Struthio camelus: one gene and its partners. The protein of the gene in region 3 binds, or shares a complex with, the protein of the main gene of each other region. Links are inferred from orthologs where the notes say so. Each region holds a gene or a part of one and is shown on either strand. Other genes may lie near its edges.

Region 1 (7,108 bases), on a different chromosome or scaffold from region 3:
TTTCTGCCTCTTTAGTAATGAAACTTGGTAAATTCTCCTGTCTAGATTTCTTAACAGGCATACAAATTCGGCAAATCCTACCAAATAAGACAAAATATATCAGCTAGTTTCTACCTTATTTTTCAGTTAAGTAGCATTTTCAAAGGATTATGACAAAACAGTTCATAAAAATAATTTTAAATATGCCCACTGTGTTTTACATCATTTACTAGAAGGGGATAGCCTTCCAACATCTGTTGAATATTTCCAGCACCACAGCTTTCACATCCAGGTGCTCTTTTTTCTTTGTCAGGGGAAATTAGCTTAGAAAAAGCTGAATTTCCTGATAAGCAGAACTATCCAAGATGATTAAGTCCCCAAAATAAGCTACAAGAACAGACCAGCAACAGAAGAAGGACTTTAAGGCAATAAGAGGCATCAGTGCTTCGATGCGCCAATGTTTACATCCCAATGCACGTTCTACTGCAAAGATTTTTTTTCACCCCCCCAATTTCCTCCTGATCTGTTAACTGTCAGACTCTTCCTCCTTCTCGTCCTCCTCCTCATCATCGTCCTTTGTGTTTGCCTCAGATTTATCTGAAGATTCATGGAGAAGAACATATTCCCTGCTACTGAACCCAAATTTCAACACATCCTTTTCTTTCAGTTCATAGTAACGTTGAGGTTCAATCCGCTGGTTATTTAGAAAAGTACCATTGCCAGAACCAAGGTCAATTATATAAGGCCTTACTCTGCGGCCAACTGTACCATCAGCACGGGTGTACTCCACAAGCCTGGCAAAACAAAAAGCACTATTTCAATCATAACAAGACAGACACAAAATTCCCATTTATGCAGCCACTCTAGAAGTAGATGGAGTTTTCAAAACGTTCTGTATTTTCAAAAATTTAAGCAAGCATAATGAGTGTAAGGAGGCACTCGGGATGAGATTCTGAAAGACTGCATCACCTTCTAAAACTTATGGTGATATAATACAGTAATTTGTAACACCGAACAGATGGCTGTTCCTTGAGAGCAGCTCTGTCTTCAGCAGCATACAATCCTTGCTGCTTCAAAAGGATAGCAGCAATCTTGGTTGCAAAATATTTTTACCGCTAATTACACCTGAGAGCGTTTATTCCAATTCAGATATACATCCAATTCTGCATTTAGTCCTGCTATGTTATTTGTCTTACAGGAAGACTGCTTGTGGTTAAATGGGAGAAGTTTCAAGTATTTTTGATTACTGCTAAGAGAACGTACAGCAGCCATATGTGAATTCCAGCTATCTCTGACATGAGACACTTACAGCAAACTAACACTTCTAAACTCTGTTTTGGGGTTTTTTTGTTTGTTTGTTTATAAATACAAGTTTCAGAATACTTCTGTTTCACCAGCAGGCACAGAGAATAATACTTACCGATACTGAAAGACAGCATGTTGCTTTGAGCAGGAGGGATGGTCAATAGGAATATCTGCTATTCTGCGATGCCTGCCCAGGAGATAAGCGCTCTGTCTGTGAATGTACATGACTGGAAGGAACTCATCATTTTTAAAAGGATAGAGGCGCCATCGTTTCTTTGGTATCCGAGCTTCTGGGGGCTCGCTGTACTTAATCACAACACCTCGGAAAGTGTTGGCATCTTCCAGAAGCGCACCAGACAGTTCAAAACTTGGCTTTTCTTTTTTTACAGGATCTTTAGGTTTATTATCAGATTGCCCGAGTTCTGGATTCTGGTTAATACCACTCACTTCATTCTTTTGTCGGTGCTCTCGTCTTCTCTCATTATAGAACTCCCTCTCTGCTTGCTGCTCACGAATGTTCTGAACATCCCTTTCTCGCTCGTGGCCTCGGCCTCCAGGCCTTTCATTAGGATTTTTCCTTCTGTCCGAGTGATCTCTGTGTCTTTCTCTCTCACCACTTCTATCTCGCCTGTGTTCTTGTTCTGATGGGTTTCTCTGCTTTCGTTCTTCATTTCCTCTGTGACAATGATCATCTCGTTCCTGTAATGAATAATCTCTTATAGTGGTCTATTTAGAATTAGAAGAAAAGAGAAAGGAATCTACTTTAAAGAAAAAAAAAATCACAATCTAACACATGAAAAACAAGGACTCAAAAGTCTTGTGTATTGATCTAACATAAAGTAGTAAAAAACTATTTTCTTGCTGAACTATTTGGATTCCCACGATTACAATGAGTAACACAAGCTTAAAAAAGAGAGACAGACCTGCCATCCTTCCACAGAATAAGATGCTTGAAGAGACAACTGAAAGCTAAAGGGGCTTGTACTTGACTTTCAGATATCAACAGTATTCCGGGCAAAGCAAGCAGCTTGCAGGAACAGTCCGCACAAGTGGTAAATTCACAACACGCCCATATGAACACTCAATTGCTCAGGACAGAGTTTGAAGTGGATAGCAACAGATATTGAACCTGTAAAACTTTTTTTTAAATTAGACATGACAACAACTAAAAGAAAGTAAGTCAGGAACTATTTTTCCTGCCTTCCACGGATGAATTTTGCCAGAGGAGGCTCACTCTCTCTCTCTCTCTTTCCGGGAGGCAGTGCAGCGCACAGGGCCCTAGCATCGCCTCCCCGGGAGCGCTGGCCCCCCAGACCCGCGGCAGGGTCAGGCCCCGGCGGCAGCACCGAGGCGATTTACCTGCTTGACTTTGACTGCGACGTGATGGGGGCTCCGGCTCCTCCTGCTCCGGGGGGACTTGCTTCTCCTGCCCGACGCTTTCTCCTTCCTTTTGGGCGACCTTTAAGGACAGTGGGGGGGGGGGGTGAGGGCACGGGAGCAAAGCGGGAGGCCGAGGCCCGGGCGCGACGCCGCCGCCGGGGCGGCCCTACCTGCTGCTCCTGCTCCTGCCGCCCCGGTGCGGCCCGGCCGGGCCCCGCCGCTCCTCGGCCGGCGGCGACTGGCTGCCCCGCGCGGAGCGGGAGCGGGAGCCGGAGCGCCGCGGGCTCCGCTTCTCGGCCTTCACCGCCGCCCGCCGCCGCCGCTCCCGCCGCCGCTCGGCCGCCGCCGCCTCCATGGCGCCGCCGCCGCGCGAAGGGAAGTGCGGCCGCTTCCGCCTCGCGCGCCGCCACCCGGAAGTACTTCCGCCGGGGCCGGGTGGGGGGAGGCCGGCGCCGCGCCGCCCTTCTCCTGCGCGTGCGCGCAGCCTGCTGGGCTCCCGCGCACGCGCAGCGCGCCCGCCCGCTCCCCCCCCCCGCCGCGACGCGCCGTCGCCATGGCGACAGCGGCGCGCGCGGCGAGCGGCCGCCATGATCCCGCCGCCGGACTCGCTGCTGCGCTACGACCCGCCGGTGCTGGTCAGCCGCCGGGCGGAGCGCCCCGGGCCCCGGGCGGACGGCGGCGGCGCCTCCGCCCCCGCCCCGCCGCCGCGCCCGCCCACCGGGGGCCGCCCGCCGCCGCCGCGGCCCGGCGCGGCCGCCGAGCCGGCGCGGGAGGTGCTGAACGCCATCCTGCCGCCGCGGTGAGGGGCGGCGAGGGGCGGCGGGCGGGCGCGGCCCGGCGGCGGCGGCGCTGACGGCCGTGCTCTCCGGTGCAGGGAGTGGGCGGAGGACGGCCGGCTCTGGGTGCAGGAGGTGTCGGGCGCCCCCAGCACCCGCGCCGACGTGGTGCGCCTGCAGGAGCAGCTGGACCTGCGGCTGCGGCAGCGGCAGGCGCGGGAGACCGGCCTGTGCCCCGTGCGCCGCCAGCTCTACGCGCAGTGCTTCGGTCAGTGCCGCCGCGCCGGCCGCCGCCGCCGCCTCGCCCTCTGCCCCGGCCCCGGCCGCGCCGCCGACAGCCAGCCGTGGCGCTCTGCGGCTGCCGGGCAGCCAGCGGCGGCCGGCGCGGGGGGCCGGCCTCCCCAAGCCAACGCACCTACTGCCTTAACTGTGCTTTTGTGCCTGTTGTTTAAAGATGAACTGATCCGCGAAACGACGATTAACTGTGCAGAGCGAGGGCTGTTGCTGCTTCGAGTCCGAGATGAAATCCAAATGACGATTGCTGCTTATCAGACTCTGTATGAGAGCAGCGTTGCCTTCGGCATGCGGAAGGCACTGCAAGCTGAGCAAGGCAAATCTGACATGGAGAAAAGAGTGAGTTGGGCTGTCAACCTCGTAAGGTAGCTTTCTGCATGTGATAAAGCGTAACGATTTCACGTACAAAATTTTATATAAAATCAGGTATTTCTACTTCCACTGGATGGCAGTAAAGACCATCAAGATACTTACCTTACTGTAGGGCTTAATTGTACTCCATAAATTTATCTGTTCTACCTATTGTACTGTACAACATAAAACTTGAACCTGTCTTAATTGGAAATTGCTTATTAACAAACACGATTTGAGCAATCTATACTCTTTTCCAAGATTGCAGAGCTAGAGGAAGAAAAGCGGGAGCTGGAAAAGCAAGTGACTGAACAGAAAGCTAAATGTGAAGCTATTGAAAAACGTGAAAATGAAAGGCGACAGATAGAGGAAAAGAAACACAGTGAAGAGGTCCAGTTCCTGAAACGAACAAATCAGCAGCTGAAGGTTAGGATGCATTTGTATTCATGTTCCACCTTTGAATTCTCAGTGAAATAGGAAAAATGCTCTTCTGCATACTTTACTTCCTTGCTCCGTCAGTAATTAGTCATCATGAGTAAAACTGATCATCCAAACAGCAGGTCAGATTCATTGGGCTCTAGTTATATACAAATTTGCCACAGGGATATCACAGTTTGTTCTGATAATGCTAAATCCTTATGGTCAGTTAGCAGACGCACACAGATGAACCCCAAATATAGACTTCAAATTTGACGCCCCTGGAATCTATTTATGCATAACTTGATTTTAAGGTTGTTGTAGCTGCCATCCCTTTTCAGCTACAAAAAAGAAAACTTAATAAAGACAAATGAAGAAAGTTTTGTTTCTTTGCTGTTGGCCAGAGCAGCTAAGTTTACTCCCTGATAAGAAGAGACACCATTTAAAATTAAACATTGCCTAATAAGAGCAATTGTGTATTATATGCAACAGAGACTTTTTTCTTTTATCCTTGCCTCAAAGCTTACATGAGATACACTGTACTACCAAAAGCTCAGGCATCACTGAGAGGGTGCCTAAGCCCTGTGCTTATGTATTGTAATTTAACATTCCACTTTCCTTGATTTATAAACAAGGTAAGTTACCACTTTTCCAACCCTAGGTAGAGAGGTCAACTAAAAAAAAAAGGCACAAGACTAATCTGTGGCTTACATCCTTAAAACATGTATTTGGTTATTTTATTTTCATCTCTGTGGGAGAAGTAGCATTCTCTTTCTTCCCTTACGGATGCTAGTCCTCATCATAAGGTGTCAGTTATTTCATATACAGTGGGCAGACTCTACTATAGCAGATTTTAACTACGCTACCTGGCCTGGAAAACAAACGTTGAATTATCAGTTACTGATCTACTCTTTGTATTTAGGGATCAGAGGCACCCCCGAAAGGTGTTTGAGAAGCTCTTTAATAGATGTATTTGTTGCAAATCTAAAGACAGCGTGAACTTTAGTACAGTCTGGAATAGTTACAAGAGAACCAAGTGCGCATTTGTAGTATGGATTTAACTTCTTATACATTTTTCTAATAAAACTATTTAGCCATAGGATCAAATCCCCCAGGGAAACTTGGTGGCACTGTTGTCATATTTTCCTCAAAACTTCCAATCTACATCTCACATAACCGAGCTACAGACAATAGCAAAACCTAAGGGCAAGCACACACTATTGCCTGGGTTTCTAAGCTTCTAAACATTTAAAGTGTGATTACTATATTGTAGGTAAAAGTATGTGTCCTGTTCACCTGTTGGTTGCTAACATGCTACCATGGACAATGGTGAAGCAATTTGTCCTATGGTGCTCTTGACTGGATCACTGAAATTGATTTGCATAGGACAGAAGTAATTTTGTGCATGCTACTACTCAGCAGCCAAGACACCTTCAGTTTGACAAAGACAGATTTCTTTGCTGTTGGGGGAAAAAAAAATCAGCTTTTGATTAAAGAAAAAACGTAATCAGAAACAACATTAAACCTGTCTGTCTAGAAGTTTACTTTGCACTCAGCTGCTTTCCTTATCTTTAACATTCTTACTGTTTTTCTTGTCTAAACCATTAACATCTTCAAGCCGTCTTGAACTGTTTAGGACATGAAGTGGAATAACTGTTAGATTAAAGACGTGTTGCCACTGAAGCTGTTATTCTTCTTTGAACTAGAAATATTTTAACAGCTATATATATATATATTATATATATATACACACACACACACACACACCAAAACTGGAGTTTATTTTGATGGCAGCAATATGAAGAGGACAATCTGCAAGTCCCAGAAGCTTCATATACCAAAAACTCCCTAAGCATTGGTAGCTCGCTGATCAATCTACTAATTGGGCATCAAGTTGTCTCAGTAACTGAAAAACTTGCTGTTCCCAGTTCCTTTTGTCCCAGAGTCAGAGCTTGTGTTCCAGACTGTAAAGAGCCAAACATTTAATTTAGCGAACATAGTCTAGCCTGAAATCAGAGAACTCAGACCACTGTTTCAACAGCTTTTATTTAATTTCCTTTTCAATGCTTTACATTATAAAATGAGTCTTTCATTGTATGGAACCAAGGCCAGCTCTTTTCTTCTCAGAAGGCAACAAGTGTGCATGCCAAGAATGAAAAGTTAATTTATAAAACATGTAGTAAGAAATGAAATAACCAGAGGAAAAAACCCTAGCCTATTTCTCTTGAAGTATTGCAGCATCCCTCAGCTGCTCACTTTGAATACATAACAGACAATTTATCGCTTTTCAGCAATGTGGGTTTATTTTTTAGATTAAGGCTAATTTAACTTACTGTCTCATTTGTTTTCAGGCTCAACTTGAAAGCATCATTGCACCAAATAAGTAGATTTCTTGTTGTCCTCCCGGCAGCGCTCAAAAGAACTGTCAAAGCAAGAAGTTTGCAATTAGTGAAAAAGATCTGTCTTCATAAAACAACCCTGAATTTTCACTTACCAGTAACTGAAGGCAGTGTAGTTGTATTAATTCTCCCTTTCAGTGCTGTCTAAACATTCAGCTCCTTGAATGGTGAGCCTATCTGGGACATACCTGTTGATAATATGCTACA
Region 2 (8,012 bases), on a different chromosome or scaffold from region 3:
CTGCTGTGTTGCAGCCCCACTGCCTGTAAACCCAGTCCATTTTCAGCATTCCTCCAATGCCAACGCATGGCCTAGAGAAGTTTTGTTAAAAGCCTCTGGGTGTGGTCCCCTTACAATACTTTTTCCCTTTTGGTCTGCCTGAATAAGCTGGAACAAGGGTGAAAAGATGACTTCCAATTTCTTGATCAGTGCTGGAAATTTCTGATAACGTTTAGAGTAGAAAATGGAAAGGGAAGGAAACAATGAAGTATTAAAACTTGTGCATTTTTTTTATTTTTGTATCAACCAAAGACTAAAAATTGTTTCAAAAATATACAGCCCTCTAAATGTTGAAAGATGTCCCTGTTCTGCTGCTAGCTTATTTAAAATGAATCTTTAAAACAGTTAAACACAAAATATTTTGTTTTATTGTGGGCACTTCTAACCCACCCACCACTGAAACGATATGTTAGATCTATAGGAAATCTAATTACAAACCTCTCTGATTTGTTGCTTTTGCTATATACTTTCTTCTATCCTGCAACTTCTCCCTCGTTTCTTGGACTGTTTCAAATTCTGGAGCATAGCACACATGCAGCAAGCTACCAAAGAAACTTCGTTCGTCCATTTTTTTCTTGGCCACCCTGAAGGAAATTAAACTGTATTAGCAAAACCAAGACTAGCACTTCAACTGTCTGGAATCTTAACAGATTACAAACAACTAGGGTGTAAAAGAGTAAGAAGAAGGCAGATACTGCCCTATACGGTACCTTGCACATGGCAGTTTTTGGAATTTTATAAGATAAACCTCGGTAAACTGCTCTGCTGGATATTCATCTAGAGCATGATACTCATCAATGGCACCATATAATGCAAATTGTTCAACTAATTCCTTCATGACACCTAACGCAGGAACTCCTTGTATTAGTAAGTAACGAGATTCCAAGTTGATAGTGTAAACCTGAAAGAACAGAACACAGTATTTTAAAGTGTTTATATTCTTACTTTAGTGCAAAAGTAACAATTCCAGGAATTTCCTGTACGTTGTCTGTTGCTCCTCAAATCCTCTCAGAACACTGAAAATCCTCTGCGCTCTATTTAGATTTTGGCAGTAGCAGTAAGCCAGGACCTTAGCAAAAAGGTAAGTGCAGAGTTTTCTGGGACTTCTCCATCACTGAGAGGGACTGAACTCATTCCTGTTACTCAAAAGTAGAATGCAAATTAGAGTCGGCACTTTCTCCACCAGGTCATAAGTTTTATTCAGCAAACAGCAGTACTTCAAGTCCCTAGATTTCCTTGCAAGACTGAATCGTAGCCAATTAGTATGAGGCACTGTCAAAATAAAGAACAAATCCTGTAAAATCTTTACCGATCACAAGGCAGAGAGGCAAAGCAGGCAGAAAATACTTTGATCCCTTTGGGCACATCATGTGTGTACAGAGCTGCCTCTGCTGCAGTGATCAAACAAGATACATTTTTGAGAGACAGATACGTAAATCAGATGCTGAGAGCAGCAATGTTTTCCCTGGCAGGTTAGCAGAAATTCCTTTCTACTTTGCATAATGACTGTAGCAGAACAACACAGGAAGAAAAATCCAAGGGAAGCTCTGACAGCTCAGTCTACGTAGAGCAGGTTGGTTACTGTAAGATTTAAAAAATATACATGAATTCATTCAAAAACATTTAGACTGCATGAGATGCACATCCTTCTCAAAAGCCAGCAAATGCAGGACCAGAGGGAACCAGTCAGGAAATCAGCTCTCAAACCACCGTCATAAAAAGGTACCCTCTCCAAATAGCGTGCAAAAATTGTTCTCGTTGACAACAGCTTATTCCTAGCCGTTCTCCTTCCCAAGTCAGCCCTAAAACATACCTATACTGCACACAGTATGTTAACTACACACGCAAAAAGCAAATGCAGCCTTCTCCAGCCCAGTGTAATGAGAAATTTCAACTATAATGTGTGCCCTTCCCTGAATCTTACCAGGAGCAGATGCGTGTGACTACATAAATACAAGAACAGCCTTGTGCATCTAAGCCCTATTGAGTTCAATGACATTGCGTACCCAACTCTGTTAGCTAATAACTGCAGCATTCAGCTGCAGAAGTCTCTTTACACTCCACTTAATCATTTTTGTATTTTTATGTTTTGCCTAAGACTGGACTACTTGTGCCACATGCATTTCTAACCAATTAATTTACAAGGTACAGTTTTGAGGTTACTAGATTTACTGGACTCACATCCACCAGTTCCTGCTAGTGCCTACTGCTTTTGTGCATAAAAAGGAAACACGCTAAGGCTGCAAACCCTTCAGGGCAGGGGCTACTCATGCTGCACAGCTGTGCGCTCCAGGCACAGCGCAGGACACTGAACGAGCACGGCAGAGGGCCATCAGGATGCGGTAACTGCCAAAGTAGACGGTATGTCTCAAGAACTGGAAGTAAAGTTCTCCAAAGCTCAGCAAAGTTCCTGCTGACTTTGAAAGAGCCGCTTCCTCTCGGCCGACAGGTGAGAAGGCAGGCCGACTTCTGTCAGGGGAGCGCCTCACGCTACGCCCGCCTTCAACCCTACCGGAGCCGGCACACGATGCGCCGCAGCAACACGGCGGAGGAGACGAACCGCAGAAAAGCCCTGAACGGAGACAAGCACCAAGAAGCGACACAAGCACAGCCCGCGAGGTCGGGGCGCTCCTGCCGACGAGCTCACGGGACGCAGGCCCGCCCTCCCCCCACAGCAGCCGCGCCTGCAGCCGCGGCCGCCGCGCCGCGCCGCGCCGCACGGCCGGACCCGCCGGCGCAGCGCCCGCTCCGAGGCGGCCGCGGCCGCAGCCGCCCCGGGGGAGCGCGGACGGCCCGCTCGCACGGCCGGGCCCGCGGCCGCCTCACCTTCACGGCGCGCGGCCTCCGCCCCTCGCGGTACTTGGCGCGCGACTCGCAGGCCCCCAACTGCGCGTGATGCCGGCAAGCATCGCCCAGGGCGCTGCCGGCCGCCGCCATCTTCCCGTCGGTCACTGCGCCCCACGGAGGTCGCTCTAGCCGCTGCCCGAGAGAGTAGCCAATGAGGCAACGGACAGAACAACTGCCTTACTCTCATTGGCTCCGACTAGGTGGAGCTCGACGGCATACGGAAGCCAGACAGAACAAGCTGAAGCCCTCGATAGAGCAACCAATCAGAAAAAGGGAATGAGTATATGCCGCGCTCCCATTGGCTGGCCGTGGGTCATACTATTGCCCCGGGGGGGGGGGGAGGGATCTCGGGGAGGCCTAGGCTGCCCGCCCTCCTCACGGAGCGCTAGGGCGGAGCGGGCGCCCGGCGGCGGTGGCGCCCGGCTGCCCGCCCGCCAGGATGTGGGGCAGCGGCAACCCTGGGGGAGGCGGAGCTGGAGTCGCCGCGGTGACAGTGGTCCTCAGCGGGAGCCGGGACTGCTTCCTGCACCTGCCTCCCGTGCTGGCCTCTCACCTTCGCCTGCAGCAGGTACCGGCTAGGCTCCGCTCGGGGCCTGGGCGAAGGGACTCCTGGGGCGGGGAGGATTGTGGGAGAGCAACCTCTCCTCCCTCCCGGCATCCCGTTGCCATGGCGATACGCAGTCTCCCTCCCCCTCCCCCTCCCCCGGTCCCCATCACTGCTGACGTCACCTCTCCCCTACAAGCTGTGTTGTCGCCATGGTGACAAGGCGCGCGCGCGCCTCCCCCTTCCCCCAGGTGGTTGGAGCCCTTCCCGGAGAGGCAGCGGGAAGCCCCGCCCCCCCCCCCCCCCCCCGGCCTGCCGCTGCCCCAGCCCCAGCGCCGCCGGGGGCCGCCCGCGGCCTTCCCCGCCCCCCGCTGCCCGCGGGCTGTTGCTGCCCCCCTCGTACGGACAAGATCAGGGGTGTGGGAGGCAGTGTTTAAAGTCAGTCAGCCCTGTGGCTTCCCGTAGAAGCGCGTAACTTACGCTTCGTACCGCTGCCGTCCAGTCGGGCCGCTGCCTGCCGTCAGCGTGTCTGGACGGTTCACAGCGTCGTGCCAAGGTTTCTGACCGTGTTGTCATGCGTTCTCCTTGCTAAAACAAAAAAAGGTGGGACTTCGTTATCTCTGAACTTAGTCTTACACCACCTGCATGTTGTCATCTACTTTTCTCTCAGCACTGCCTATTTTTATACCTTTCTTTTGGCAGTAATCCATGCACCAGCATTAACTGAATAACATGTAAATTGGATCTTTCAAGTAGTAGCTAAGATGTTAAATCTGTGCAGAATCATAGTTCTTGGTGTACCTAAATATATGTTTTGCTGTGTAGTTCTGTACAGAAATACTTAATAGGGCTTTGGATGATAGGAGGTATGCGAATCAGTTGCAGGAAGCGTCCCTTATGTTTTTATTAACATCTCACACAGGAAAACACTAGCAAGGCCTGTGAGCATCCATTGTGCCAGGTAAAGAAGTCAATAATTTAAAAATTGTTAACAGAACAGATCACGTATGCAGAAAAAAGACACCATAAGAAGGAGCAGGAGAAAAGGAGAAAATCAGAATGGAGTTTGAGAATGGAGCAGGAACGTGCAATCCTCTTATACCTTCTGCAGACTGGAATGTGCTAACTTGACAAATAATCACATGGAGATTTATGGAATAGCCCATAACATCATGCTAATTTCCTGAGGTCAAGAAAGACGTATCACAACAGCAAAATTATCTAGATTTGTAAGAAGTTACTATTTTTCCTTCAGAGTGCTAAAAGAGAGATTAAAGGGGCATTGGTAAACTGTGGGGATGAACAGGTTCCTGTTACAAAAAATTCAGTGTAAATGTTAGCTTCGTTTTTGCTACAAATCTGCCTTCAGGAGATAGAAACAAGGAGTGCAATTTCTTTACAGTCTTACAGTTTCATCCTGTAGCTAGGGCTTACTTATTCGTATAGTAGTCTGAGCAAAGTCAGTATAACATTTTTTTAAAAATATTTTCCAACTCATGAAAGCACTCTTAGAGTCTGTACTGAATATATTAAAGTGCATGTGAAACTTAATCATATACGTATGTTTTTTTCCCCCCATATGAGAGATAAAAATGTGTAGTTATACATTTCTATGGGATATTTGGTTGGTAGATTATCATGCAGAAAAAGGGGAAGAAGATATACTTAAAATCGACTATAAAAATTGAAAGCTGTTTAAACATTGAAACCAACAAGAAATTCTGTGTTGGAAGCTGTGCAGATAGCTAACACGGAGAAGAATTCTGAGGAAAGTCTTGATGATGAAGTTGAGCAGTCCACCAGAGCCAAAAATTTTCCATTATCATTAATAGAAACACTATAAACATTGTGTATTACAGTTTTGGAATATTCATTAAAATTGGGCAGGTAAAATCCATAAATTATTTTGAATTTCTTTCAGCTCTCTAATCAAATATAAGCTTTAGTTTCAATAAGAGTCATTTTATTTAAGTTGTTTGATACTAATTTATTCTATTTCTCTGAAACTAATAGGGCCAAGCTGTGAAAGTTTCCGGCGGTCATCAGCCTATATTTTTGAGCTGGATGGAAATCAGGCATCGAGGTCACCAGGGTGAAAATATTGCAGAGATTAACAGACAATTAGCAGAGAAACTTGGCATTACCGATGGAGAACAGGTTTGAAATGCAATCTCGCGATCGCTCTCTCTTCCCCCCCCCCCGCCTTTTTTTTTTAAACATGGAATGTATAGCACAAGATCCCTGAAGAGATAATGGTTTACAAGCTAACTATCAACTGGCATCTTGTTTCGTGTGCACTCATCTCCAAGTTACTTTGTTAATATCTGTCTGATGGAAAAAGTTCACCTTCATGAAGCATGTCTCAACCATGAAAAGATTTGTTCATAAAATCATTACAATTACCTAAATGATGTAAGGATAGGCTTGTGGGTAGGTTTTTGCAGGGTTGGAGCCACTCTCTGCAGTGACGTTATTTTTAGGAAAACATAATTTGCAGTTAAATAAGTTGGGAATTCTTTCATTAAAATATTCTGCCTGGAGTTCCTGTCATTGTTAAATAATTATTGACTTGCTCTGTATTTCTTCTTATTTGACTTATATTGGATTTGAATTGTCACCCTCTTATTCTCCCTTCACCCTATAGCCCCATGTCCTCTTTCTTTGAATATTTATTTAAATTGGCCTACTGTTTTCTTACTCTTGGACAGTGTGTTCAACAACTTCTTTAAATGATTCTCTTAGTGTAGAGAAGTTGGATAGATGCCCAGGAGACAGCCAAAGATATGCGTCATGGGACTCTTAACATTTCAGCATCCAAGATTCTTTTATCTTAATAGGTGAAGAGTTAAATCAACAGGAGTAGAAAAGTACTGTTCTGCACGATATTACTGTGTCATATATTCATATATGCGTATTCTATTATGTAGAAAATCTTATTCAACAAAATAAACCACATCAGAGGACATGGCTTGAAGCAGTGTATTACATTAGCATGTTTACTTTTTTACTAGATTTACTAGTTCAGTGGCAAGGTAAGTGGCCTTTTCTGTTCTAACAATTAATAGCCTTCAACAGAAAAAAATAAATAAATCGACAAAAGAAGTTTGAGTAAAACCTTACGTAGCTGTTGTCGGGAAATAATCATCTATACATCATGAACGATTAAGTAGTTTCACCACCTTTTTGACCTCAAAGTACATGTTTGCTGTGTTTCATAGTTATATGCTCTTCTGTTTACCACATTTGGGAAAAGGTATTTCCTCACACCTTTTGCTTCAAACTTGAGGACCCACAGGAATTTAAAATCAATTATTTCAGATCAGTTTTTATAAAAGTAACAAATATGTCTCAGAGGACAGGTAACTAGAGATAGTTTTATCTCAGAAGAAGTTTATTTGAGTTTATTTAAAAATGTATGGCCTTATATTGTTTGAAAATTGTTATTTTCTGAAATAATGAACCTTTGGTAAAATTAACTCTTGAAATATATATTTAAGACTCTTGAAAAGATGTATTTTCCCTAAGCCACAACAGCTTCTATAATTCTTCCTGGTACACAGGACCTTAAAGCTGTTATGTGGAAGTGGGGATGCTTCCTGTGAACCCACTCATTGAAGAACTTGGTTTGGTTTCATTGTGTGTGTGTTTTTTGCTGTTGTTATTGTTTTGTATTTTTTCCTCTTCCATTTCTTCAGCTATTTCTGCCTTATGTAAATTTGTGCACAATTGGATGAATTTTCCTAGAGTGCGGAACCTTTTTTTAAAAAATAATAAAAATCCAAAGAAGCTTGTGTGATCAAAATGCTTTAAAATGGATTGTTTTATATCAGCTGATACAGTTCCTGATGCACTTCTCATTCACTTATGTTCATGGTGCATCAAAGCGCCAAGCATACCCAATGCAATCCATTTCCAATGCACTGAAATTTCATCTTCTGCTAATAAGCTTAGCTAGTGCCATTAAGATAGCGTATATTCAGAGTAATGAAAGCATAACGGAGATGTCTGTTGTCTGGCTGAATTAAAGATGGATTTTTATTTATTAAAAGCAAGGAGTTAAATACTTCAAAATGGTTTTACATTTGTCAGGTATTCCTTGAACCCTGTTCTCATGTCTCTTCCTGTCAGCAAGTAGAAGTGGAACCACTCTCAGCAGATGATTGGGAAATACTGGTAAGAAAACTCTTTTTGTTTTTCACGTCCTCTTCCTTACAGATGACAAAGATGTCAGGTATATGTAGTTTTCAGCACAATCGCTGTCCTTTACCTCCCCGAAGGAAGCAATAAATGTGGTGGGTTTTTCATAGTATTTTGTCTTTCAGATGGTATATTAGAAAGAGACATAGAGTTTTTATCCTCAAACAAATCTTAAATATTTATGAAGGATTTTATTTCTAATGATAGTAAATTTTCATAGGAACTGCACGCCTCCTCTCTTGAAAAACACCTTCTTGACCAAATTCGAATAGTATTTCCAAAAGCCATCTTCCCTGTATGGGTTGAACAGCATACTCACGTTTACATCAGAATTGGTAAGCAACGATGAAGGCTTTTGAGGTGCTTTCAGAGAGCTGTTTTGCAA
Region 3 (7,828 bases):
GCACCAGCATCTCCTCCTCTTTCGGCTGCAGTGGCATAGCTTTTGCAGAGCCTGACAGTGAATCAGATCAATGAAAAAGATTGGTTCCATTTTCAGTAGGTTGATCCTCCATCATATTCACCATGTGGACAAGTAGTTTTGCCAGTGCAACACAGAGAGCGGACTGAAGCTGGAGTAAGTGGGCAGAACACCCCTCCACAGCAGCACACGCTCACGGTAGCTTAAAGTGCTCACTGAAATACAGGACCAATTACTGAAGGTCTTCTACCGGATGTCCCACATGCAACAAGTCGTTACAGAATCAATGTTAAAATACTACATGGAACAAAAGTTAGTCATTCCTCAGAACTTTTCAAAGTACTCTAGATCTTCTAAGAATGGATTTTTCCATTGATGCCATCCCAGAATCATGGGACCAAGGTTATGCTTTAGAAACATTTATTACCCTTGAAGAATATGTATTTATCTAGATGGACAAGGGAGTCCTTAACAGCCCTTTTGAGATCTGTATCACTTTGTGGCCCAGTGATGCTGGAAATTGTTTAAAAACCTTGACCTAGTTTTTTAAGAAGTTCTTAGCTAACACTTGGAGAATAATATGCTAACATCAGAAGTAGCGTAGGCAGAAAGTTTAAGTGAATGTAGAGCTCTTAACATTATTAAATGCAGAGCTTACAGAAGAAGTTTGTCTTAAAGGAGCAGTGGAACTATTTGAAGTCACCTTTTTTTAGTGCTAATGGATCACCAAAGTACTGTGTTGGATCCATCTTTAAAAAGATGGTTCCAAACGTAAAGTATTTATGTAAGTAAGGCTGTTATTAGCTCATGAAATGATGGCATTTGTGAACAAGGTTGGATCACAAAACACTGTACCAAAACCTGAACAGTATGCCTTGTCCCAAGAACACTTGCTCATGGCTGATCGTAACAGGTCTCAGACATTGTGTTAAGTACCATTTCAAGTACTGTCTGCAATTTTTTTTTTCCAAATCTGCAATGACAAATCACACCAAAAGATTTTTGTATTCAGTTATACACTTGCATTTTCTATCCAAATTTTCAACTCTTCCAGTTGAAATCACATAAAACAGGCCGGGATCACAGCTAATTACCATCCACGATTACCATCCAAGACCCTTCTGCCAGTAACACACTTTAACAATGACAAATTTTAAAGTTTTCCTCTCAATTCCAACAAGAGTTTCTCCCTCCACACTAGCAGCTACCTCGTGTTACCATAAGAACAGAATACCCATAAGTAGTCTGTTCTCTTATATGTGTGTGTGTGTATATATATATATATATATCTGTTTCCTTATTCCAGCTATAACCTAGATCACGTGTTTAACAAATAACGATGAGGGGAAAACACAGATGTCTTTCTTGGAGCATCCTTGCATTGAGAGACTGTAAACCGACATGGCCATGGAACCATTTCCACATTACTGCATAATAATTTCTAAAGGGAAGAGCCCATACAATATACAGCTTACCATAAAACTTTTTAAGTAACACAGTTAATTACAACAACTTCCCCTGACTCAAGAACATATCCATCAGCTTTGATGGAAGTTCTCCATGTGGTAAGGCTTCACACAATTCTTTGTGCTACATTCAAGATGCTCAGAGTTTATTTCTACTCCAAAAAATACACTTTTTTTCATGAACAGAGACACACTACTACAGTGTGATTGTAAGCATATACCTCCAGCATCCGTGGTATCCATCCTTTCCGGTAACCATACGGGGGAGGTTCTCTTCGTGATGACACTAGAGCAGTTTGCCTCGATCTTTGCGCTCTCGCCCTTTCTTCTAGTTCTAGCTGGTCCTGAGACAGCTGGGTTGGAGCCGGTAAAAAACTGCACATCCATAGATAGCCCAAAATAAAGAGAGACAATTAATTTTGAGAATTTCACTCAACAAAACTCAACTGACACTTGAATCTGTAACTAGACTATTCTTCTTCTCTCTACCATTGATCAATAGAGATTCACGAAACTTGAGCATGGTGCTCATGAAGCACAGAGCAGTAACTTCCAAGTTTAAAGGGGCAAAATCAATTCGTGCTCTGTCAACGTTCTGAAGGATTTCTATAGAACCTGATGTTAAATTCACCCATATTCACATCCTGCCTGAGCAGCAGCATGACAGTGACCATTCTCTAACAAGAGTGTGACAGACCACTATGTATTTTTTTTTCCACTACTACCAATCAGAAAAAAGAAAATACACCCCTAGTCTCAGTGACTCCCCCTTCTCTTCTCTCAAAGCGAACGTCCACAGAGAGATCTATCGACAATCCTCCCCCTTGGCACTAAACCCCTGCCAGCCAAAGTCAAGAACTTGAGCCCCGAATTCTTGACTTCCTACTTTTCAGCTCATCTAGACGGCCTCTTACATGTCTTCAAGGAAGCATCTACCTCCTAAACGGAAGGCGCTCCTGAGCCCACAGAAGTCGCACTCCTGAAGACGGTCAGAGAAACGCAGCAGCTCGTAACAAGGCCCTCCCATCCTCACTAACGGTGAGAAAACCCCCACAGAAATCGCACCGATCCGATCACCTCCAGCCGAGGCCGGGGGCTCCGTCTTCCCGCAGAAGCACGCGAGGCAGGAGCCCCCTCGTCCAGAAGGCGGTGCCCGCACTGCCCAACGCCCCCTCCCGCCAGTACGGGGCAGGCCCCTGCGCCTCCCCCGGCCTGGCCCTCGCCGTCCCCAGGGAGCAGCGACGCTCGACCCACCGCGGCGCGGCCTCGTCGGCCGGCGGGCCCAGCGCCTAGGGAGCCCGCGGCCCGGCAGCGCGAGGTCTGAGCGCGGCCCTCTGCGGCGGCCGGAGCCCCACACAGCGGCCGGGGAGCCGTACGCAGGCAGGAGAGAGAGCAGTTCCCCCGACCCGGGCAAACCGAACCCGCCGGACCCACCTGGTGAGCGCCATCTTGCCGCCTTCGTCGTCTTCTCGGGGCCCAGCGTCTGTGGGGGGTGGGGGTGGGGGGGCGGGGAGCGCGCTTGCGCATGCGCCGCGCGACCCAGTTGCGGCTGGGAGTTGTAGTCTCAGAGCTCCGCAATCGGAGGCGGGGCGGGGTCCCCCGCCTCCAGGCGCATGCGCGCATGGCGCAGTGCTTGCTGGGAGATGCAGTCCGCCGCCGGCGCGGAGGCGTGTTGGGTCGTGTGGCTGCCATGGCGGCGGTCGGGTTGAGCGGTCTTTCCCAGGTACGGGGCGGCCGTAAGGGCCTTTTTCTTTTTCAGGGCCAGCCTGTAGTGTGCAGGATGGTGGAGGACATCTCCATCTGTGCACGCTGGTCTCTAGGCCGCTGCTGGGCTTGGTGTGGGTCACTAAACACTGCAGCCACATTGGGGCCTGGGACCTGATGTGCGATGCCAGGCGCAAATCTGCTACCTGACAGCCCCAGTCTGATGAAATCCCCCCAGCCTCAGTCGACGGTGTCTCTCGTAGTGCCTATCTTTACCCCTTCGATACCTCCCAAGGCATTGCTGGTCTCTGCAAACTGAAACAGAAGAGTTGGACCCAGCAGCAATGGCACAATCCCAGAAAAGCTGCTTCAGCAGGTTTGATACAGTTGTCTTCGTTGAAATTGCAAAGAAAAAAAAGGAGGGAAGCCTGGTACAAAGGCCCCTTTTTTAGACATCCTGTCTATAAATATAGTTTCCAACAACTTCAGTAACTTAATGGTTCATCCAGCTGAAGGATGAGGTATCCTAGTAAAAGGTAGAAAATACAGTGCAAATGGCATTGCAATAGAATTTCTTGATCTGATATCTGGTACTTAGGCATCACTGAGTAGGACATGAGAGAAAAAGGAGAGAGAGAGATGAAAACTGGTATATAAATAACTTGAGTTAAAATAAAAGCTTTTGCATTAAATGTCAGATGCTGTGTACATGTAATGGGCGTATGTTCAAATGTTACATAGTGTTTTTTTAAATGAAGCTTCTAAAACACCTCAAGAGATGTAGTTTTTAGGATATAGTTAAAATGTGAAATAGGGAAAAATATTAGCCAGGAAGTTGTAGTAACTGGAGACTAGATGGAGCTTTAAACGGATAAGGTGCCGCTAGTGCTGAAGTGGCAGTATTTAGTGCCATATAGGACAATAAATTTAGTTGCCGATTAATAACTGCTACTATTGTGTTACCATCTTGTGAAGTATGGTGAGGATCATGCCCACTTTGCCTGGCATGGTTCATCTAGAAGAGACACACAAGCCGACTAGAGAAGAAAAGGGTAGAATGTATAAGAAGCAAACATATTCCTATTACAAATAAATAAATAAAAACTTTCCGTGCAGTAAGAGGCAGGAAGACTATAAAAGAGACAAAACTCCTGTAGACTAAATTCATCTGTTAGAATTTCTAGGCTGAGTGAGATTTGGAGGATTGTAAGGGCAGTTCTGTTGTAGTCCTTCTATGCCAAAATTCTCATTGACTTCAGTGGAAATCTGACTTCGGGTTTGCATTGTGCTGACAGCAGCTGTGTCATCAGCTCTATGAATGACATATTTTCCCTTCTCTTGGAGAAAACTGTCCTCTTCTGAGTACATCAAACAAAGCTAAAGATACAAGATTTTGACATATATTGTTTATCAATAGTTGTGCTAAGCAAAGCTCCTCTGTCATCTCTTGTATCCATTTCCTTCACTTGTTTAGGAACTGAATTGCTGTTGTCACATCCAGCAGTATTGCCCCCAGATTAAAGAGCATTCTGTCACCATATGAAGTTGCCATTGTCTCTATCTCCCACTGTGATACTAGCCTCAACTGAAAAAATGTCTATTCTCTGTCTTACTGCTATGTTTCTCCTCCTTCCTTTGCTGTGACGTTTTATTTAATGCTGTATGGTAGTTGTACAAGTTTGTGAACTATTTTGCAACACAGTTTTTATGACAGTCACTACAGAAAATTGTTGTTCAGAAGGTAAAATTGTACCTGAGCAATCTGGTTCAGCTCCAACACTTGAGAGATGTTCCATTGGTTTCCTCACGCTCACTGCTTGCTTGTTCTTATAATTATTCTTTTTTTTTTCTCTCTCTTTGCAGACAATAAGCTGTTTGTGTTTGGAGATGTTTATAGCTGTCTGGCTGTAAGACCAGTTCTGTTGAATAATTTTTACGGTTCAATTTTGCGGTTTACTTTTGATGTGTGAGTTGGCTAATTTAGAGTTTGTGAATATGTAAGGCTCTTAACGCTGGGTAGAGTGGACCATATGGTGTGAAGGGGCTCCACAAGCTTATTCCAGACCGTATGGCTTTGTAAATGTATCTCAGTCTGTTTTAGGCACCTACTGCTTATCCAGCTGTGGGTAACTACTTGTCCCTGTCCTGGGGTACATGCAGAATATCAAACCTAGAAAACGCTTACATTTAACTTGTCAAAAATGTTTGCTGGGATAAACAAAAATAAATTCTTGAGAAGTTTAGAACTCAAAAATGAGGGAAGTTTGGAAAAGTCAACATATTTTCTTTCAACTTTTTCAAAATGAAACATTTAAACCCTGGTTTAAAACAACGTTGGCCAAGTTTAGCCTACTGTATTTTTTAAAGTAGGAAAATTCTTAAAACCAGAATGTTTAATTTCTAGTCTAGTAAAACTTCTTTTCATTTAGAACAGGATTTTTTTTTCATTTTTCTCTTGAAGTGGGATAATGATTTAATTCATATATTGGGTTAGCCACAAGACCAAAAAAATTAATTCGTACAGTTGTCCTTGGACCTGATCTGGTGCACCTTCCATTACTTCTGCCTACCACGACATTTTTTAGCGCTGTGCAACACTTGAAGATGTATGCTACATGGGTGGAGAACTGGCTGGCATTTCAAAAAGCAAAAGATCATCAGTGGGGGATCAACACTGAATAACGGTATTTCTGAGGATGGGATACTAGGACTTACACGAGTCAACATTTTCATCAGCGATCTGGCAGTCAATACGAAATCACTTCAAAAAGTCTTTAGCTCTCTCACAGAGTGGCAAAATGTTCAGTAACGCTGAGAGGAGAGTCATACTAGATTACATGGTAGATGTGATCCATTCAGACAAAATGTGTTTTAATATCGCATGGTGCAAACTTCTTTATCTGGAAGTAAGAAATGAGGGGTTAAGTACAGACTGTACTATCCTGGAAAAGAGAGCTTCTGAAAAGGATCTAGAATGGTCATGTCAGAGAAGCAGCTCAACATGAATTTGTTGTGCAATGAAGTAACAAAAAGTCCAGTGCGCCCCAGGGATGTTTAAGTAGGGGCAGAGCAAATTCTAGGGCCACTATATATTGTCCTGGTGACCACATTTTTAAAATAGTGCTTGAAAATTGAGGAGGGTTGGAAACTACAGGGATAACTTAAGGCTAGCATAAATTAGAAGTGTAGGGCAAATACAATAAGTGCACTTGTTTTGTGGTTAGCTCTTAAGAGGTAAATGCTGTACCGCCAAATTAGGAGAGGGTGAGCTCCATCTATCTGTGTTTATTGTCAATTACATTAAGAAGGGAATTGATTCTGAGTAAGCAAATTACAACTTTTAGTATGTTTTGCTTATTACAAAAAGACTGAGAAGAGATTGATCATCATGCATATGTACTTTTACAAGTTAAAACTACAAGATCTGAAAGTACTCTAATCTGTTAGAGAAAGGCATAACAAGAACCAGTAACTGGAGGCTGGAATTGCAGAAATTCAAATGAGAAATTAGGCAGAAATATTTAACAATGAGAATGATTAACCTTTGGAACGGCATGGAAAGTACTCACTTCTAGTGCTGTCTAGTGTTATCTTCTAGTTAAAGCTGAAAGTCTTTAGGGAACAGACATTTTCATCATTACAAGGTCTTCTTTAGGCCAGCCTGAACTCTCAGAGCCAATATAGAAATAATCAGTTGAAACGTCATGTTTCAGGAACGTCTTCACAGATCTCCTAGTTCTGGAGTTTTTTTGAACCAGACCTGGTAACTGTTCAAAGATGGCAGCTCTAGCAGAGGTCTCATAACAAGAAACATTTATGCAAGGAATGGTTCTGAAATCCTTAGATCTGTTTCCCCCAACTATAAACCAGTCTCTAAGAAAGAAGGATGAGTTCCTTTTTGTTTTTACCATGATCTTTTTTGCTTAACATTACTAGACAGCAAGCTATAAGGTCTCCACATACATCACTTTTCAGAAGTACACCACAATGGTCCTCCATATGGTGAGTAAGGAGCTGAGGCTCTAAGGTATATTGGCGTGGCTGCCAGCAGGGACATCTTAATTTGATGCGAATACCACAATTGGCTTTGAAATACCACAATTGGCTTTGAAAACACTTACTTTTGTGTATATTTCTGCTGCATTGCAGGAGTCTTTTGGGGTGGATTTAGGCTATTAAATCCTCGACACCTTTTTTCTCTACCTCAGCACTTTTCACATTTGCAAATGCAGAGTTAAATGTTTCATGAAATATCTTGTAACAAATGAAGATGAAAATACAAAGTAATGAAATAAGCTATTGTTGATATCAGATATTGGTATGCCTGACAGTCACTGCACATTGTGGGATAAAAATGATCGAATTAAATGGCATTCCTCAACTCAGGGGAAAAATAATGCCACAGGTAAGATGCTAAACAGTGAGAAAGAAGAGATTTATCTAGGTGGAAAGGTTCAGCCACATCAGCAACCCCTGCACTGCACATTCCCTTAGGGGTTACAGGCAGCATTCAAAAGGAATAATTATAGCTGGGGAAAAAAGATCAGAAGGTTTATTAGTGTTTCAGCAAAAATCTTTAAATTCTTCAAGCCATACCTATATTATCTGGAAGGACTGAAAGGGAGGCTGGTTTAATTTGT
Region 4 (6,366 bases), on a different chromosome or scaffold from region 3:
AGGGATTGTTTAGTGCTCCTTTTGCAGCACTTAATGTCTAAATTATGTGTGGCGCTATTACTAGACTCGCCATAAGCTCTAGTCTTGTTTGAATGCTTTAAACCTTCTACAAGTGTACCAGTACTACAGAGCCCCATGCTTTGCTCAGTCTACTCTACCCCTTGCACTGCACGGGGCAACTGAAATAACCCAAAATAGCAATACCTCACATCGGGGTTGCAGATCGTAGTCAAGTTGCTGTCACAAATATTTTAATAAGACAAATGCTCCAGCCCTTGCCACTACACTGATAGTGTAAAAGAAGCCTAATAGCCTGCTTGCCACAAGAGGGCAGAGGAATACAGGACCAAAATTAATGCCAATATTGTGAAACTGTGCGTGTCACCTGCTGCAAGGACAAGCCTATTTTCCACCCGCTTGAAGAAAGCAAGCCCCCGGAAGTTTTTCAGAGTTTTAAGGCTATCAAATAATAATAAATCTGTTGCGCTAGCAGCATAACAACAGGTACAACTCACTCAAGTTACTTCAACCATTACAAAATTTATTTAACAAAAAATAAGTTTACACAAGTGATGTATGGTTTGTAGAGGATTTAACTGAGTACACAAAATAGTAGAGTTAGGTCCCATCACAGCCCAACATGCTGCACACACACAGGGGTCATCCCACATGTTGCACACACTGTCACTAAGCGGGTTTCACTGGTTCTATACTCGTTCCAAGGCTTCTAACATAATGATGCTGTTTCCTCGTATTACCTAAAAAGAAAAGTTCACAGCAGCCAGTGAGATGAAGCCCATCGGTAAACACAGCTCTGTAACACTGCAGATTCCCCCCTGCCCCATCCAAATTTGTCCTCCTAGAAGACTGCACAGTAGATGCTGCTCCAAAGTTGAAATTAAAATGCATTTCCCTACAAAGGAAAACTACAACTAATTTTAACTCTAAAACACAATGGATTGTTGTGTGCAAATACATCACTTCACAGGCAGTTTACATTACATTTTCCTTACAGCAAGTACATCAACTTCTTAGAACTCAGCTCCTTTAAATACATATATTAGCTGTCTTTGCAGGGCGGTGACAGACCAGGTACCTGTTACTTGTTTCAGCCCTGACAATCCAAACTAGTACTTACCACCATCCCTATGTTGTTCTGCTGTCCTCCTGGTGCCATCTCCACACACTCATCTATGACTAGATTCATGAAGGGATCAAACCCTCGCAATATCCCCTGGACGTGTCGGCCACCGTTTAACTTCACTGAAAGAAATCCAGTAAGCGTGAAGGACGGGACCACCGAACTGCGGCATCTGAGGTGGTTTTGCTCAGGACAGTAGCTCAGAAAGAGCGTGCTGTCATAATAAGAGTTGGGGGGGGGGTTCAATCACAAGCACGAAGAGCATCGCACCCTCACTTAACGCTGCCAGTGTAAGAAAGGGAGCGTAAGAAGCGAGAGGGTGAGAGATAATGCAAGGTAGCAATCTTAAATATATATTATATATATATATATATATATATATATATATATATACACACACACACACCGATTTGGGGGCATAAAAGAGATCGAGGACGCCCGCTGCCGTTAACCTGCCCCCCCCGCCCCGCCGCCCCCCGGAGCCCGGGACTCACGTGACAGCTTCTTGTCCATGAACCTGCAACGACACGGCGGGCGCCGGTCAGCGCGGCGCGGGCGGCCCGCCGCCATGACGCCCCCCACCCCCACCCCGCGCAATGCATGCCGGGAGAGCGGCGGTTGGAGAATAACGGTCGCTCGGGCAGGTAACCGCCGCCGCCCCCCCACATCACCCCCCCCCCCCGTCCCCCACTCACAGTTCCACCTCCCTCCCCCTCCGCCTTCCCGCGCCCCCCCCCCGCCCGGGGCCGGTACCTACTTCTTCAGCTCGGGCGGGTGCGCTTTGCTCATGGCGTCTCCTCAGCGCCGGGGCCACCGTCCGCTCTGCCGCTCGGCGCGCGCCGCCTGACGTCACCGCGCCGCCCCCTCCACCCGCCCCGCGTGACCCGCTCGCCAGCCAATAGCGGCCGCGCCTCCCCCTTCTCCCCGCCCCGCCGCCCCTCGCGCCTCCCCGGAAGGCGACACTCCCCTCCTTCCCCCGTTGCCGAGCGGTTACCGCATTCCCCCGAGCAGAGGCGCAGCAGCTGCGGCACCAAGCGCCGCAGGAGGCCCGGCGGGGACACGCTGGCGGAGGGGCAGAAGTAGCAGGACACCGGAGGGCTCCTGCGGCCGGCCGTCCCCGGAGGCGACGGCGGCACCGGCTTGGGGAACCGGGGGAGGATGCGCGGATACGCGGGTCAATACGGCTAGAGAGGGCGCCACGTGCTCCCGGCGCCGCTGGGCTCCCCACGCGGCCGCGCGCGCCGCTCCGTGCAGCGGCACCAGCAGCGCCGCCCGCCGGGCACACGTACGGGGGGCACCGTGCACGCCGCCGGGATCAGCCCGCACCGTGCACACCCCCGGGGATCAGCCCGCACCGTGCACATGTGCCTGGGTCACCCCATGCCTTGCACACCCCCGGGGATCAGCCCGCACCCTGCACACTCCCGGGGATCAGCCCGCACCCTGCACACCCCCGGGGATCAGCCCGCACCGTGCACATGTGCCTGGGTCACCCCATGCCTTGCACACCCCCGGGGATCAGCCCGCACCCTGCACACCCCCCGGGATCAGCCCGCACCGTGCACATGTGCCTGGGTCACCCCATGCCTTGCACACCCCCGGGGATCAGCCCGCACCGTGCACATGTGCCTGGGTCACCCCATGCCTTGCACACCCCCGGGGATCAGCCCGCACCGTGCACATGTGCCTGGGTCACCCCATGCCTTGCACACCCCCGGGGATCAGCCTGCACCCTGCACACTCCCGGGGATCAGCCTGCACCCTGCGCACCCCCGGGGATCAGCCCGCACCGTGCACACCCCTGGGGATCAGCCCGCACCCTGCACACCCCCCGGGATCAGCCCGCACCGTGCACATGTGCCTGGGTCACCCCATGCCTTGCACACCCCCGGGGATCAGCCTGCACCCTGCACACCCCCGGGGATCACCCCGCACCGTGCACACCCCCGGGGATCAGCCCGCACCCTGCACACCCCCGGGGATCACCCCGCACCCTGCACATGTGCCTGGGTCACCCCATGCCTTGCACACCCCCGGGGATCAGCCTGCACCCTGCACACCCCCGGGGATCATCCTGCACCGTGCACACCCCCGGGGATCAGCCTGCACCCTGCACACCCCCGGGGATCAGCCCGCACCCTGCACATGTGCCTGGGTCACCCCATGCCTTGCACACCCCCAGGGATCAGCCTGCACCCTGCACGCCCCCAGGGATCATCCCACACCCTGCACACCCCCAGGGATCACCCCGCACCCTGCACCTGCCCAGGGATCACCCCGCACCGTGCACCTGCCCAGGGATCGCCTTGCACCCTGCACACCCCCAGGGATCACCCCGCACCCTGCACCCGCCCAGGGATAACCTTGCACCCTGCACACCCCCAGGGATAACCTTGCACCTTGCACGCCCCCAGGGATCACCTTGCACCCTGCACACTCCCAGGGATCACCCTGCACCTTGCACGCCCCCAGGGATCACCTTGCACCCTGCACACTCCCAGGGATAACCTTGCACCTTGCACGCCCCCAGGGATCACCCTGCACTGCACACGCACTCACGCCGGTGTCACCCCGCGCCCTGCGCACGGGCAGCGGTTGCCCCGGGCATGCCGAGCCAGCGACCGCCGGCCGTTCGGCACGGGCACCAGGGGCTCCCTGCTGCCAGCACCCAGAGCGCCACCCGCTGCGGCCCCCCCCGCCACCACGGCGCCGCTGGGGCCCAGCTCTGCACCTCGCCTTTAATAAACGCGGGGCCGCGGCCCGGCCCCCCGCTACTGCTCGAGGGCGGCCAGGCTCTCCTTCATCCTGCGGGCCATGGCGGGCAGGAGGCGCAGGTGCTCGTCCCCGCAGGCGGCCACGCAGGCGTCGAGCTGGGCGCGCGCCCGCGCCTCGGGGCCACCTGCCTCCAGCGCGTCCCGCGCCTTGTCGTTGCAGTGCAGCGTGCAGCGGCCCAGGCGGTCCTGCGCGGGGACAGGGCTGTGAGCGCCGCGCCGTGCCGCCTGCCGCCGCGCCGCCCCCGCCGCCACCCTCACCTGGAAGCGCTCCAGCTCGCCGGTGACGATGGCCTGCGCCTGCGCCAGGGGCGCGTGGCACCGCTCGATGCACTGCTGCACCTGCTGCATGGAGGCCGCGCTGCTCTCGCAGCACCGCGCGCTGCACCGGAACATGGCGCCCTGCGGAGCCGGGGCCGTCAGTGCCCTGCGCGAGTGCCCTGCGCCGCCCCTGCCATGAGCGCGCAGCGAGCCGGCAGGGCCAGCCGGCCTCTGCAAGCTGCTGCCCTCCTGCTGCCGCAGGGCTGCACCGGGTGTGCAGGGAGGCGTGTGCAGCTTGCACAGGGGGTGTGTGCACAGGGTGTGCACAGGAATGCATGGAGCGTGCACAGGGGCTGCACAGGGGGTGCACAGGCACGCATGGAGCGTGCACAGGCGCTGCACAGGCTGTGTGTGCACAGGAATGCATGGAGCGTGCACAGGGGCTGCACAGGGGGTGCGTGCACAGGGTGTGCACAGGCACGCATGGAGCGTGCACAGGCGCTGCACAGGTTGTGTGTGCACAGGAATGCATGGAGCGTGCACAGGGGCTGCACAGGGTGTGCGTGCACAGGGTGTGCACAGGCACGCATGGAGCGTGCACAGGCGCTGCACAGGGTGTGCGTGCACAGGGTGTGCACAGGCACGCATGGAGCGTGCACAGGCGCTGCACAGGGTGTGCGTGCACAGGGTGTGCACAGGCACGCATGGAGCGTGCACAGGCGCTGCACAGGGTGTGCGTGCACAGGGTGTGCACAGGCACGCATGGAGCGTGCACAGGCGCTGCACAGGCTGTCTGTGCATAGGATGTGCACAGGCACACATGGAGCATGCACAGGGGCTGCCCAGGGTGTGCACAGGCACACATGGAGCATGCACGGGGGCTGCCCAGGGTGTGCACAGGCACACACGGTGCTTGCCCAGGGTGTGCACGGGGTGTGCACAGGCACACGTGGAGCGTGCACGGTGCTTGCACAGAGGCTGCACGGAGTGTGCCCGGGGTGTGCTCGCCCGGGGGTGCCCAGGGCCGCGCTGGCGGGGGTGGGGGGGGCGCAGGGGGCGCGGGCCGGGGCCGCGCAGAGCTGCCGCCGCGGGCGCCGCCGGTACCTGCAGGCCGCGGATGCTGTCCCGCTCCAGCCCCTGCACCATGCTCTCCACCGCCGCCTGCACCCGGCCCTGCGCCGCCTCCGCCATGCCCGGCCCGGCCCATCCGCTTCCCGGGTCAGCACCGCCCCCGGCCCGGGCCCCCCCGCGCAGCGCCCAGCGCCGTCGCCACCCGCCGGCCGTGCAGCGCCGAGCACCGCCGGCACCGCCCCAGCCGGCCTCTTGCACCCTGGTTTGGCCGGGATGTTGCATCCCGGATCCGCCGGGCTCTTGCACCCCGGTTTGGCCGGGATGTTGCATCCCGGATCTGCCGGGCTCTTGCACCCCGGTTTGGCCAGGATGTTGCATCCCGGATCCGCCGGGCTCTTGCACCCTGGTTTGGCCAGGATGTTGCATCCCGGATCTGCCGGGCTCTTGCACCCCGGTTTGGCCGGGATCTTGCACCCCGATTTGGCCAGGATGTTGCATCCCAGATCTGCCGGGCTCTTGCACCCCGGTTTGGCCGGGATCTTGCACCCTGGTTTGGCCGGGATGTTGCATCCCGGATCTCCTGGGCTCTCGCACCCCGGTTTGGCCAGGATGTTGCATCCCGGATCTGCCGGGCTCTTGCACCCCGGTTTGGCCAGGATGTTGCATCCCAGATATCCCAGATGCGCCAGCACCTTGCGTCGCACCCCGTGGCAGCTCTCGTGCCCCGGCACCTGCCCCTGCTGCCCCTTTGCAGGCCCCGGCATGGGGGGCACCCGCTGCCCCTCCGGTTGCTGCAGCTTCCAGCCTGGATTTACCTGCCTGGTCCCAGACAGAGGCCACGTGCGGGGCCGGCTCGGCCTCAGCACCCGGTGCCGGGGCCCAGCACCCCGAGTGCCCCGGCGAGCGGGGCTGCGTGGCGGCACGTGCCGGCCGCCCCGTGGCTCCTGCGGCCTGGCCGCCCCTCCCGCCGGACTCCAAAAAAAACCCAACCCCAAACACCTGCAAATAGCACCGCGGGCGGCCGGGACCGCCGGCATGCCGGGGCGCGGGGGCTTCGCGCCGGCGCCGCCGCGGTCGCTCCCCGCTGGCCGACGTGCGGGATCGTGGCGCGCCCGCCCGCTT

What was found.
Region 1: SNW1 (region 3) and SNIP1 share a complex: the UniProt entries of both Homo sapiens proteins name them as parts of the SNARP complex. The link is inferred for Struthio camelus from reciprocal best matches to the Homo sapiens genes SNW1 and SNIP1.
Region 2: SNW1 (region 3) and RBM48 share a complex: the UniProt entries of both Homo sapiens proteins name them as parts of the minor spliceosome. The link is inferred for Struthio camelus from reciprocal best matches to the Homo sapiens genes SNW1 and RBM48.
Region 4: SNW1 (region 3) and SNRPG share a complex: the UniProt entries of both Homo sapiens proteins name them as parts of the minor spliceosome. The link is inferred for Struthio camelus from reciprocal best matches to the Homo sapiens genes SNW1 and SNRPG.

Annotation. Positions count from the first base shown.
Region 1 is NC_090964.1:10,834,226-10,841,333, forward strand, and holds the start of SNIP1 (smad nuclear-interacting protein 1), read right to left. Parts: upstream 3,020-7,108; coding exon 2,835-3,019; intron 2,744-2,834; coding exon 2,644-2,743; intron 1,984-2,643; coding exon 1,400-1,983; intron 774-1,399; coding exon 506-773; 3' UTR 1-505. Other genes in the region: DNALI1 (axonemal dynein light intermediate polypeptide 1), read left to right, coding at 3,252-3,463, 3,539-3,708, 3,895-4,073, 4,347-4,511, 6,854-6,889. UniProt on the Homo sapiens protein: Required for pre-mRNA splicing as component of the spliceosome. As a component of the minor spliceosome, involved in the splicing of U12-type introns in pre-mRNAs. Down-regulates NF-kappa-B signaling by competing with RELA for CREBBP/EP300 binding.
Region 2 is NC_090943.1:27,304,163-27,312,174, reverse strand, and holds the start of RBM48 (RNA-binding protein 48), read right to left. Parts: upstream 3,015-8,012; 5' UTR 2,977-3,014; coding exon 2,866-2,976; intron 1,506-2,865; exon of another isoform or gene 1,387-1,505; intron 941-1,386; coding exon 750-940; intron 624-749; coding exon 478-623; intron 1-477. Other genes in the region: peroxisomal ATPase PEX1, read left to right, coding at 3,326-3,454, 5,444-5,587, 7,520-7,603, 7,848-7,962. UniProt on the Homo sapiens protein: As a component of the minor spliceosome, involved in the splicing of U12-type introns in pre-mRNAs.
Region 3 is NC_090946.1:59,329,820-59,337,647, forward strand, and holds the start of SNW1 (SNW domain-containing protein 1), read right to left. Parts: upstream 3,013-7,828; 5' UTR 2,933-3,012; coding exon 2,919-2,932; exon of another isoform or gene 2,665-2,918; intron 2,523-2,664; exon of another isoform or gene 2,506-2,522; intron 1,860-2,505; coding exon 1,706-1,859; intron 1-1,705. Other genes in the region: ADCK1 (aarF domain-containing protein kinase 1), read left to right, coding at 3,175-3,207. UniProt on the Homo sapiens protein: Involved in pre-mRNA splicing as component of the spliceosome. As a component of the minor spliceosome, involved in the splicing of U12-type introns in pre-mRNAs.
Region 4 is NC_090968.1:3,162,671-3,169,036, forward strand, and holds SNRPG (small nuclear ribonucleoprotein G), read right to left. Parts: upstream 2,051-6,366; 5' UTR 1,931-2,050; coding exon 1,899-1,930; intron 1,659-1,898; coding exon 1,636-1,658; intron 1,264-1,635; coding exon 1,139-1,263; intron 759-1,138; coding exon 708-758; 3' UTR 521-707; downstream 1-520. Other genes in the region: protein FAM136A, read right to left, coding at 3,913-4,101, 4,174-4,314, 5,278-5,364. UniProt on the Homo sapiens protein: Plays a role in pre-mRNA splicing as a core component of the spliceosomal U1, U2, U4 and U5 small nuclear ribonucleoproteins (snRNPs), the building blocks of the spliceosome.